Linked DNA regions of Rattus norvegicus. The protein of the gene in region 1 interacts with the protein of each later gene in a pairwise test. Links are inferred from orthologs where the notes say so. Each region holds a gene or a part of one and is shown in the gene's direction. Other genes may lie near its edges.

Region 1 (4,208 bases):
GAGGCAGGAAGGGGAGGTGATTGGGGAGAAGGAACACCCTTACACAAGAAGGGGAGGGAGATGGGATAGAGGGCTTATGGATGGGAAACCGAGAGAGGGAATAACATTTGAAATGTAAATAAAAAATATCCAATAAAAAGCAAAACAACGGGCTGGAGAGATGGCTCAGTGGTTAAGAGCACTGACTGCTCTTCCAGAGGTCCTGAGTTCAAATCCCAGCAACCACATGGTGGCTCACAACCATCTGTAATGGGATCTGATGCCCTCTTCTGGTGTCTGAAGACAGCTACAATGTACTCATATATAAAAAGTAAATAAATCGGGGCTGGGGATTTAGCTCAGTGGTAGAGCACTTGCCTAGCAAGCGCAAGGCCCTGGGTTCGGTCCCCAGCTCCGGAAAAAAAAAAAAAGCAAAACAACAACAACAAAACCCAAATCTAAACAAAATAGACACAGAGAGACAGAGTCAGACACACAGAAACACTCAGAGATAAAAAGAGAGGAAGAGAGACAGGGAGGACAAGAACCAGAAGCAGAGTTTCAGAGAGACAGCCAGAGACAAGGATTAGAGTCTAGCAGAGACACAGGTGGAGATTGACAGAGACAGCCAGAGAGAGATTTAGAGACAGAGAGTCTAACAGAGACATAGAAACCCAGGGAGAGGCATAGACAGAGACACAAAGAAACTCTGAGAGACAGGGTCTGAGCTAGTGATGAAGATACAGAGGCAGAGATTAGAGGCAATTGAGAAGATACAAAGAGAGCAGTGGAGAGACTGCAGAGATATAGAGAGATGGAGTTGGAAACTGAGGGAGGGGAGGAAGGAGGGAGAGAGATGGAGAACACAGAGAAAGAGAGCCTGAGGTCAAAAGAAGGAGAACCATCAGGAACTACACATGTGAACTAGTTCACTCATCCAGAGTACAGATCTCTTCCCAGTTATTCTGGCTGTGTCAGGAGATTTACAAGTTCAACGCTAGCGTGGGCCACAAAGAACAACCCGGAAAGCCCTGTGCCTTTCTCTTCCCAGTCTCTCAGGAGCACTGTACACATTTCTCGGTGCTTTTGAAGACATTTCTTTCCAGATAATAGCTGATGCTGGAGGGACACCAGTTAGACCTAAGGAAAGACTTCCCCAGGAGTGGGGACTCCTGGTTGCCGGCAGGAGTTGGGCCTTCCTTCCCTCCCTTCCTCATCAACCCTAATTGCCAAGATGTCACTGTGGGGGTGGTGGCGGTGGATTAAGCAGACGGTGCCCTTCCCCCAGCCAATGTCACCTCCTGTTGCCCAGTCGGTCCCCCACCTTCCCTGGGATTACCCTTCGAGATCCAGGCCACAATAGATGACATCACTCTCAGCTCAGGCTTAAAGTCACCCCATGTGAGGGGACCTATTTCCTCTAGCCTCTGCTGTCTGATGACACCATCCAGGACCTGGGCATCCAGGAGAGCCCCCATTTCTTCTTTCCAAAGGTGAGTCTTTGCAGGAGAGGCTGAGTGGACCAGGAAGAGAGAGAGAGGGGGTGGGTGGGGGAGAGAGAGTGAGAACGAGAGAGCGAGAGAGAGCAAGAGAGCGAGAGAGCGAGAGAGCGAGAGAGAGGAGATTTTATTCTCACTCGTCCATGTTTTCTGGGCTTGGTATAGTTTGACACAAAGATGGATCTGTGATGCTTTCTGAATAAATTAAGGTAGGGTAGAGATTCCAGCAGGTGTTCAGGGAAACAGGCCACTTAGGACCATGGTTGGAGGGAGTTCAGAGGTGGAATGCACACATCCGTGTATGTGAGCATGTTTGTATGTTTGTGTGTGTATGTATGTATGTATGTATGTATGTATGTATGTATGTGTATATGTATGTATGTGTACAGCGTGTGTAAGTGTGTGCGTCCATGTAAGAGAGCATCTGTGGAGGACAGAGATAGACATATTGGGTGTCTTCCTAAATACTTCCCGTTTGCTATTTTTTCCTAGAACTCTCTATGTAGACCAGGCTGGCCTTGATCTGATGGATCTTCCTGACCCTGCCATCCAAGTACTTAAGGTTAAAGGTGTTCACCACCACACTCAGCCTATCTCAGACAATGTCTTTTACTGAACTTGGATCTCCCTTCTGAGCTGAGGCTGGCTGGACAGTGAGCCCTGTGTATCTGTTTGTCCCTGTTTCCCCAGCGCTGGGGTTATAGTGTGCCCAGCTTTTATCTGGATGCTGGGGATCTGAACTCAGATCCTTACATATGCACAGAAGGTGCTTTATGTACTAAGCCATCTCCCCACTCCCCCGCAACCTTTTAAATTTTATTTATTTATTTATTGAGAGGAAGTCTTATGGAGCATCGGGTGGTCTTGAACTTGTTCTGTAATAGAGGCTGGTCCTGAACTCCTGATCTTTGTACACCACTACTCCCACTTGTATTGTCTTTAACTCTTTGGGATTTTTCTTCTCTGTTTGTAAGGATATATATATATATATATATATATATATATATATATATATATATTATATATTATATAATATATACATTATATATCCTGTTGAGGCCAATGTGGCTAATTTCTGTTCAATGCCAGCTCAACATAGTAAACTGGAATTCTTTCTCTAAAGTTGAGAGCAGGGCTAATGTTTCTAAGAACTCAAGTTATAGATGTTGAGTTTTGAAGGGAAACACCAATATTACTAATTTTTTTGCCTCAATGACTGTAGAAACTTTTCTAGGGCCTGTGGTCATCCAAATGAAATTATAGAGACATGTGGCAGGGCATAGTGGTGTATGCCTTCAATCCTAGCATTCAGGAGGTAGAGGCAAGCAGATCTGTCAGCTTGAGGTCAGCCTGATCTACAGAGTAAGTTTTAGGTTAGCTAGGACTTCATAAACTTTATATCAAAGGGAGACCTTGTCTTAAAAAAAAATATGGGGAGTTGGATGGCTCAGTGGTTACGAGTACTGGCTGCTCTTCAGGAGGATTGGGGTTTTGATTCCAAGCACCTACATGGTGGCTCACAGCTGTTTGTAATTACAGTTCCAGGGTACTTTTCTGGCTTCTTCTGATGGTACCAGGTGTGTTTGTGTTCATAGAAATACATGCAGACAAAACACCCATACACATAATATTAAACAAAACACTAACACAATGAAAGTAAAAAAAAAAATCCTAGGAACACCAAAGTTCGATATTACTGCTGCATATTTCTCTCTCTCTCTCTCTCTCTCTCTCTCTCTCTCTTGTCACAGTCTTTTATAGCACATGCTGGCCTTGGATTTGCTATATAGCTGAGGATGACCTTGAACTTTTGATCCTTCTACTTCTACCTACAGAGTCCTAGGATTACAGGTGTGAGACTCATGTTACTGTTTCTTCTCGTGTGTGTGTATGTGTATGTGTGTAATATATGCATGGAAGTGTGTGTATCTATTTGAATATGCCTGCATATTTGGAGGCCAGAGGATAACATCAACGTTTTTTCTTCTATTCCTCCTCTGCCTTATTGCTTTGAGACAAGGTCTCTCAGTGAACTAGGCACAGGGCATTTTGACAAGGCTGGCTGCATAGCTAGCTCTTGAGACCCACCTGTTTCTACCCTTCTTAAGGCTATAGTTCCAGGCATACAAAGCCATGTCTGGCTTTTTACATGGTAGCTACAAATGTAAACACAGGTTCTCATGCTTTTGCACTTAGCACTCTTCTCTACTTAACCATTTCTACCATGCCCACCCCACCTCACTTTTGAGACAAGGGCTCATGTATCCCAGGGTAGCCTCTAACATGATAAGTAGCCTAGAATGTCATTGACCGCCCCCAGCCTCCATCATCTGAATTTTAGAATTACCGGTGTGTGCCACCATACCCAGTTTATGTGATATTGGGGATTGAACCCAGGGGCTTAATACATTCGAGGCAAGTACTGTAACCAGCTGACCTATACCCCAAGCTTCCCATTGTCATTGTTAGACAGAGTGTGCTTATGAATCCCAGGTTGGCTTTGAATTTGGATCAATCCTCCTGCCTCAGGCTATGAGTGGCATATGTGAGCAAGCCTCCACACCCAGATAGAGGGTGAGAAGGAGGGGCTGGAGAGATGGCCCAGTGGTTAAGAACACTGACTGCTTTCCTTGAGGTCCTGAGTTCAATTCCCAGCCATCACATCTGTAATGAGATTTGATGCTCTCTTCTGGTGTGTCTGAAGACAGCTGGCTGCAGTGCACTCCTATA
Region 2 (4,078 bases), on another chromosome or scaffold:
CAACACCAGCAATACGTTCTGCTTTGACGTGGGTGTTCTTCCGAGTGGTTAATGAGAGCTCACAAAAATCCTGGTCTCGTTTTCTTTAGCTATGGAGGGAGAAGGAGAGGGAGAGGGAGAGGGAGAGAAAGGGGGAGGGAGAGAGGAGGGGGAGGGAGAGAGGAGGAGGAGGAGGAAGAGGAGGAGGAGGAAGAAGAAGAAGAGGGGAGGGGAGGAGAGGAGAGGAGAGGGGAGGGGAGGGGAGGGGAGGGGAGGGGAGGGGAGGGGAGGGGAGGGGAGGGGAGGGGAGGGGAGGAGAGGAGAGGAGAGGAGAGGAGAGGAGAGGAGAGGAGAGGAGGGGAAGCACAAAGAGGGAGGCAGTTCTTTTGGACTATAGCTCCAGGTACCGTTTAAGTTCTCTCTCCCTCTCCATCTATCTCAGGGTCATCTGGCTCCATCCTCCAGATTTACTTCCCAGGACTTTTCTCGGTGATCAGGTATGTCCCAAGCTACGGTGTGTTTAGGTTTGAGAACTTACTGGAATGCTAGGCTTATTCTCTGACCAAACCACAGAGCACAGACTTGGGAACAGAGCAACAACGACTGCAGGACCCAAGAGAACTGAGGAGGTGCCAAGGCTGGAGGTGCCTGCTGCTGGCTCTCCAGTTTTCCTCAGTCTTCCCGTCTAGCACTAACTCTGAGGAGACTGCTGGAAAACTTTGCTTCCAGAGCCTCAACCTAAGCCCTTTGGAGAACCAACAGAGGTTGACAATTGGGTTTGGTTTTCACATAAATGAAACGGTCCTACTTGCTCCCCACTGACGACTGCTTAACTTCAATTCCCTTTACTCAGTGACTTACTTTAAGTACCCCCGCATTCCAGGCCTCTGCTAGGTAGAGAAGCCTGCTGGAGGCTGGTGCAAGAGAGGTAGCCGGACAGAAGCAGAGGTTCCGGGTGTGTCTCTACAAACCTGTTTCTCTTCAGAGGGATACATTTCAGCACCTCAGCCAATGGGAGGGCCCCTCTCTCTCTCTCTCTCTCTCTCTCTCTCTCTCTCTCTCTCTCTCTCTCTCCCTCTCCCTCTCCCCCTCTCCCTCTCCCTCTCCTTCTCCCTTTCCCTCTCCTTCTCTGTCTTTGTCTCATTCTGTTTCTCTGCGTGTGTGTGCGCGCGTGTGTTTGTATGTCTTTCTGTTTCCTTCTCTGTCTCTGTCTCTGTCTCTGTGTGTGGGTGGTGTGTCAGTGTGTATCTGTGTCTGTCTGTCTATCTCTTTCTCTCTCTGTCTCCCTAACTCCATCTTTGCATCTCTCTGTTTCTCTCTGTGTCTGTGTGTCTCTCTTTCTGTCTCCCTCTGTCTCTGTCTCTGTCCCCTCCCTCCTCTTCCTCCTCCTCCTTTCACTCACCTCTCGCCCTACATCTCATTTGGGAAAAAGTCACCCTGTGCGCTCCTTGCTTTTATTTCTCTTTCAGGCCCCTCCAGATGCCAGCAGACAGCATGCAGGACCCCGATCCTGTGCTTTCCTACGGGATGAAACTCACATGGGACATCAATGACCCGCAGATGCCTCAGGTGAGGAAGACACTCCACTTTGGGTAAAATGTGGCACTGTCCAGCCAAAGGGGAAACCACAAGACAACTCATGCTGAGACTACACACACACACACACACACACACACACACACACACACACACACTCACACACAGATCTTTGGATACATAGGGAAGTTGGACTCTAGAGAGAGCAGAGTTCAGTTTATTGGTGTGTCTTCTTAGAGTGATTTACCGATTTACCTGAGATTCTCTGAAACACACTGATAGCAACAGCGATACAGACTTAGGTTCCCAAGTCGTCAGCCAGACTCCCTATTCTCTCAACCAAGGCAGAAACTGAGTCAGTCTCTCTCTCTCTCTCTCTCTCTCTCTCTCTCTCTCTCTCTCTCTCTCTCTCCCCCCCCCCCTCTTTCTCTGGAGACTTGGGATTGGTACAAATTCAAGGCCAGTCAAAGCTACTTAGCAAAGCCTCATTTAAAACAGAGCAACAAAAAGCCTCACTCCTTACTCACTTACTCAAAGTTCAAAAGAAAGTTTTGGAGAAATGTAAATACCACTAATTCTCACATGGCCAAGCCAGGCACTGGGAGGTGACTGAATCTAAAACACATGTCCAGCCTGAAAGTCCAGCACCTGCTTGAGAAGATCCCAGTCCGGCTGCCGAAGCCACCTTGCTCCACTCGCAGGTCCCTAGCAGTGGAAGGGTTGCCCTTTCGGGGTAAAGTTGTCTTTCCATTGTCAGAGCCAAGTACAGGAATGAACCTGGCAATTTATGTTTAGATCAAGACTAATGATGGAAAAGTGTGTGTGTGTGTGTGTGTGTGTGTGTGTGTGTGTGTGTGTGTATGGGTGTATATGGGTGTGGGTATGGTATATGTGGGATGTGTAGATGTGGTATATGTGTGTGTGTTGTGTTGTGTAGTATGTGTGTGGTGTGGGTGGTGTGTATATGTGTGTAGTATGGTGTGTATATGTGTGGTGTGTATGTGGATGGTTGTATGTGGGATGTATGTGTGGTATATGTGGGATGTGTGTATGGTGTATGTGGTATGTGTGTGTGTGGTGTGGAGTGTGGTGTGTATGTGGTGTTAGGCAAATGCATACATGAACGTAGTGTTGGAGAAGAACTGCTTTCCTAGCATTTGTAAAGTGGGCTTCCAGTAAAGTCCTTTGACATTTTTTTTGAAGGGTTTGACACTTGACATTTATTTGGCCTCTGTGCTGTGTCAGATAATACTCAGAGATGAGAGATCTGTGGCGGGATATGGCGCCTCTGGCAGAGGTCAGCGTTTTGTTAGTGCACATGTGTGTATGGAGCTTGACTCACTTGCTCGTGCTCAGCCCATCTCCTTCACCATCTTCCAGAATGACTGCTCTGAAAAGAGATCCCAGTACACATGTCTCATTACCGCTGACTTCTGCCACTGTAAATCTCAGAGGAAACAACCCAATCTTGTACTTTGAGAAAGAATCAGATCCAAACGATACACTAAAGACATGGCCTCAAAGATGTGTAGACTTCCTGATAAACAGAAATTAGTTTTCCTTTGAGGCATGTGCATGCCATGAGGCATGGGTGGAGGTCACAGGACAGCTTTCATGAGTCCGTTCTCTCTTTCAGCCACAGAATTTGAGATTTAACTCAGATGGTCAAATTTGCAAGGCCATGCCTTTACCTGCTAAGCCATAATGAGGAGTATATCTAACACGTGAGAAAGGATAGGAGCAGAGACATAAACAGCAATAACAAAACTATCTATCTCGTGCTCTCTTTTCTCTCTCTCTCTCTCTCTCTCTCTCTCTCTCTCTTGTGTGTGTGTGTGTGTGTGTGTGTGATATCAACACGTGAGAGCAAATGAAACCTCCTTTCAGGTATGCATACGAGACACACACACACACACACACACTCACTCACTGTAGCTAGCTCTTCTAACTAATTAACTAATTAGGCAAGTGAGGTAAACTGGCTATGTGTCCTTGTGAGTGTCCTTGAACCTTTGTTAGTCTTGGGCTGCTGTCCTATCATCAAACGATAAACCTAGATAACGATCTCAAATTTACCTCAGATAAACTGTCATCTCGTAATGTGTGAGCATGTGTACACATGGCTGCATTCATGTATGCGTGCGTGCGCATGTGTGTGCACATGTGTGTGTGTGTGTGTGTGTGTATGTGCAAGCCTGTGGCTGCCAACATGCATGCTGCCAACACATTAGAGAGAGCAAATAAAGTCTCATTTCAGGTATGCATACCACACGCAGATGCACACACACAATTAGGAACAAGCATGAAATAAATCTTTCAACTGCTAAGTGGAAGCAGAGTTGACCGATTTTTTGTATTTATTTATTTATTTATTTATTTATTTATTTTAGCACACTGACCTTTGAATCTATTGGCTCGCAAGCATAGAATGCTTTTATTTTTAGGGCAGCTGGTCAATTGTAAGTTTTTGCCTCCCTTTACATGATCAGCGGTTAGACGAATGAGAAAAACGTCCCCGAATTTCATTCAACTGGGAGAAAAATGTAAAAAGTGTTACTCCAGC
Region 3 (3,986 bases), on another chromosome or scaffold:
TTTCAACGGATTTTTTTTTCTCTCTCCGCATCTCCCCACCCCCCTCCGGTCCCCACTTGCATTCAACATTAAAATTCTAAGACTTCACACAGATGCCCAAAGCCCGCCCTTCTGGCTCCAGCTGCTGCCTCTCCCAGCAATTTCTGTCTCTTCGGACTTCATCCTCATCTCTGTAAATGATAGGTCTCATTTTAACAGCACAGTTCTAGGTTGAAATCTTCAAGACACTCCTGAGGAAAAGTAATCCCTTGACAGAGCACAATGGTTTAGAAGGGCTGTCCCTAGGTCGCCCAGCTGGTAGCTGCACTGAGTCATGGCTTTATTATCGGCACGGGGAGGGGACAGGAAACTTAAAGTATTTTCTTTTTAAGTTAAAATAGCTCCTGGATCCTGGTTTGTGGGAATGCTCACTACGAACATGCAGAAGGAGCCAGCCTGGAAAGGAATATGGACAACAGACTAGGTTCAGAGACCGCCATTAGTGGCATTTCTGGGAACAAATGCACATCGATGCTTCATAGCTCTTATTGCATGATAATGTAAGCATGTCACATATAATCTCTATTACAGTGACAGTGTCCCCGAGACCTGCTTATCCTTAAGGAAGTCAGGCAACTTGCGAGACGATGCCACTGAATGAGTCCGGAACGTCCGAGATTGATCCAGGCCTAGTAGGTAGGACCAGTTTGGGAGCGTACAGCCCATTTGAGCTGCTGTCACTACAAGTCCCAGCAGTCCTCAGGGCAGGGAAGGCATGTGGCTACCAGAATCAGGATGGACTACAAATCCCAGCAGGCAAGTCACAGTCGCTGAGACTACCAGTCCCAGAATGCATCGTGTCCTACACAGCGTACTCTGGGATTTGTAGTCATCAGGGCAGCGTTAGTGTCCGTTCACACCCGTCAAAGAGGACGTACATTCCTCAGATTGCCCACTGGAGTATTTACTGCTTTAGCAAGTAACACAGACATGAGATGGGGAAGTAAGGGCCTATTGAGTCAACTCTTGGTACACGGGAGGACAACTGCGCATGTTCACTGGAGTCCGTCGGCGAAAGCGCGCGCAAGAGGCGCCCAGCGCAGGCTCCGCCCCCTGCCCGACTGGCCCCTCCCTGGAGCCCCGAGCTCAGGGAGCCTGCGCTGAGGGCGCGGCGCAGGCTGTGGGGAGGTGCTCGCAGCGCCTGCGCAGAGCTGCTGCTTCTCTCGCGAGGACGGACGCCATTATCGCATCTCCCCGACAAACACCACGAGAATTCCGCAGCCCACACGGTAATTGCAGCTCCCGCAGCCGGTCGCGCCTCCACTCCCCCTTCCCGCGGGGCGAGAGCGAGAGCGAGAGCGAGATCTCCGTCCGCCCCCGCCCCGCCCCGCCGCCAACCGTTGCCAACGGCCGCGGGCCGCACGCCGGGCTGGGCGGGGGCCAGCGGGCCGCGGAATGTCCGCGCGCCGCCTCCGCCCGCCGGGGCTGCGGGCTCCCGGCTGGGCGTGTGGGGTCCGGGGAGCGAACGAGCGGGCGAGGCCCGACGGCCGCGCTCGCGTTCGGCTCCGGAGCCTCGGCGCCTCCCGGGCCCGCGCCCGGCGCCCCTGTCACGGCCGCCCAGTCTGTCAGTGCAGGGCCTCGCGCGGTGCTCCCGGGTCCTGCGCGCCGCCCTGCCGCCTAGGTGGCCCCATCTCCCGGCAGTTCTTGGCGCTCTGCCCCGGTAGGGTGGCTTCGCCCTGGCTGGCGCATCCGCCTCTGCTCTGCTCTCTGTTTACATCGGGGCTGATAACTGGTGCTCGCTTCCCCACCTAGCGTCATGTCCCCGTCCCGCACAGCCTTGCTTTTATCCCTTGTTGTTTGTAGTGGCCTTTGTTTCTCTGCTCCTGGTGACAATGTAACTTCTCGAAGATAGTGTTAAATCTTCGACTTCACTCCACCTCCTCTCTGCCTTTTTCTAATCTGGGGTAGTGACTTTTAGGCCCGTCCAGGTAGGTCCAGCTGTCTTTCTTTGCACGCCTGGTTAGTTCAGGACACAGTGTTTCAGTCTGCTTTCTTCTCAGTCCTTAGGGAGCTTCTGCCAAGTACTTCCTTTCTGGTAACTGTTTCCTCCCTGGAAGGTTTTAAGGTCTCCTTGGCATTGGAACAGTTTTACAGTTCACAGGTATGCTCAGTAGGTGTGTCCTTGAGCTCTGGGAGATTTTCCCAAGAGAATTTGTCCCCCCACCCCGATTTTCTTTTTTCAGGGATTCCTGCCATGTGCGACACACATTTGGGTACACTACTTGAGTTTCTTCATCTTTCTATTCCAGGAAAGAGCTTCAGTTTATCTTTAAGCCCTAATATTTTAAGTTTTGTTCTGTGCATTGGCCCAGGACTTTAATGCCAGCACTTAGGAGACAGAGGCAGGTGGATCTTTGCAAGTTTGAGGCCAACCTCGTTTACATAGTGAGACCCAATGGTGGGGGAGGGGGAGTGGTGTATCCATAATCAAAATTGAAGTTTCTGGGGTTGGGGATTTAGCTCAGTGGTAGAGTGCTTGCTAGGGTTCGGTCCCCAGCTCCGAGAAAAAAAAAAAAAAAAGACAAAATTGAAGTTTCTGAGCAGAGCGCAATGGCACACACTTTTAGTCCCAGCACTTGGGAGGCAAATGCAGGCTGATCTCTTAAGTCTGAGACCAGCCTGGTCTACAGACTGAGTTCACAGCCAGAGCTACACAGAGAAAAGCGAAACAACAAAAAAAAAAAAAATTTTTTTTTCCTGAATGTATTTGTTTTTTTCCTTTTATTCAGTAGTTTGTTTCATCAATACGTTTTCTCCTTTGGGCTGAGGAAACTATTAGGGGTTCTTTTCAGTTCTCTGATTTCTTATTTAGTATCACTTTTGAGGAGTGGATGGTAAGTGTTAGCTTCTTGCTTTGGATGGCAGGGCCTCCACTAGTGCTAATTATAATTGCTTAAACTTAGACCTTAAGGTAAGAGGAAACTGGCAGGGGACCCAGGGTCTGTGGAGAAGGTTTTTAAAATGGTTTTTTCCCACTAGTATCTGCCAGAGCTTCTTACCTAGAGACTTGGAGGAGCACATAGCAGACACCTTCTATCTGGGCTGTTTATCTGTCTTCAAGGGTCTCCCTTTGCTCGGAAGCTGCTGTGCTTGGCTCTGAGGTGGCTGTGGAGACTGCCCCTGATGAGGCCGGGAGCCCCACTCCTGTGTTCCCCAAGCTGTCTAGATGAGCTCCTCTGTCAGGAACTGAAGGCTTGCTGTGTACTGTTTTCTTGTGAGTTTATTGTACTCTCGGAAGTATTTTGATGGGGTAAGCGGAGATTGTTTTCAAGGCCACTTACCTGGAACAGGAATTTAATTTTAGAGCCTGTTGTCTTCAGATAATTTCTCTCCTTACATTTTTGGGTTTTGTAATGGATGTGTGCCAGATCATGGTCTCTGTGGTTGCCTCCAGTTGAATGGATGGTTCTTCCGCTCTGCTATCTTGGTAGGGCACCAGGATGCAGGAGACTGGTCAGACACTGAGATTAGGCCCTTCAGTTTAGCTGCTTCACTGTCTAGTTGGGTTAGTGCAAGCAGCTAGCATATCATGGTTCACTGATCAGAGGTGAGCAGTGCAGTGTGTGCTGTACCCATAGCACAGGGATAGCAAGGCCAAGCATTGGGCTGGTACACTTGCAAGTTTTGCTTAGTGAAGTAGGCTGCATCCGCCAGGGCCTTGCAGCAGAGTCCACAGCAACCCACACACTGGTGAGCACTTAGCCCACCTGTGATTAAGGATTTCAGAGAGACTACAGCTGCCTTCCTCTTCCCCTTCATCATATCTAACAGCAGGGCTACCCAGATTACAGACCTTACACCCACTGACATCTTTTGTTTGCTTTGTTTCAGGATCTAATTCCCGACTCCTCACTGTAGTTGTCATGTCTTCTCCAGTCTGCTCTTTCCATTATCCCAAAGCATTCAGTGTTTATAAGTCTTGGCAGGAAAAAGTGCTCTCTCTGGAA

The links.
Region 2: the proteins of Crx (region 1) and Gcm2 interact in binary tests that used the Homo sapiens proteins (3 or more experiments, as listed by UniProt). The link is inferred for Rattus norvegicus from reciprocal best matches to the Homo sapiens genes CRX and GCM2.
Region 3: the proteins of Crx (region 1) and Banp interact in binary tests that used the Homo sapiens proteins (3 or more experiments, as listed by UniProt). The two-hybrid records come from large-scale screens. The link is inferred for Rattus norvegicus from reciprocal best matches to the Homo sapiens genes CRX and BANP.

Annotation. Positions count from the first base shown.
Region 1 is NC_086019.1:85,679,053-85,683,260, reverse strand, and holds the start of Crx (cone-rod homeobox protein), read left to right. Parts: upstream 1-1,408; 5' UTR 1,409-1,472; intron 1,473-4,208. UniProt on the Homo sapiens protein: Transcription factor that binds and transactivates the sequence 5'-TAATC[CA]-3' which is found upstream of several photoreceptor-specific genes, including the opsin genes.
Region 2 is NC_086035.1:23,857,101-23,861,178, forward strand, and holds the start of Gcm2 (chorion-specific transcription factor GCMb), read left to right. Parts: upstream 1-1,278; 5' UTR 1,279-1,458; coding exon 1,459-1,548; intron 1,549-4,078. UniProt on the Homo sapiens protein: Transcription factor that binds specific sequences on gene promoters and activate their transcription. Through the regulation of gene transcription, may play a role in parathyroid gland development.
Region 3 is NC_086037.1:66,915,275-66,919,260, forward strand, and holds the start of Banp (protein BANP), read left to right. Parts: upstream 1-1,186; 5' UTR 1,187-1,247; exon of another isoform or gene 1,248-1,268; intron 1,269-1,561; exon of another isoform or gene 1,562-1,699; intron 1,700-1,707; exon of another isoform or gene 1,708-1,967; intron 1,968-3,986. UniProt on the Homo sapiens protein: Controls V(D)J recombination during T-cell development by repressing T-cell receptor (TCR) beta enhancer function. Binds to scaffold/matrix attachment region beta (S/MARbeta), an ATC-rich DNA sequence located upstream of the TCR beta enhancer.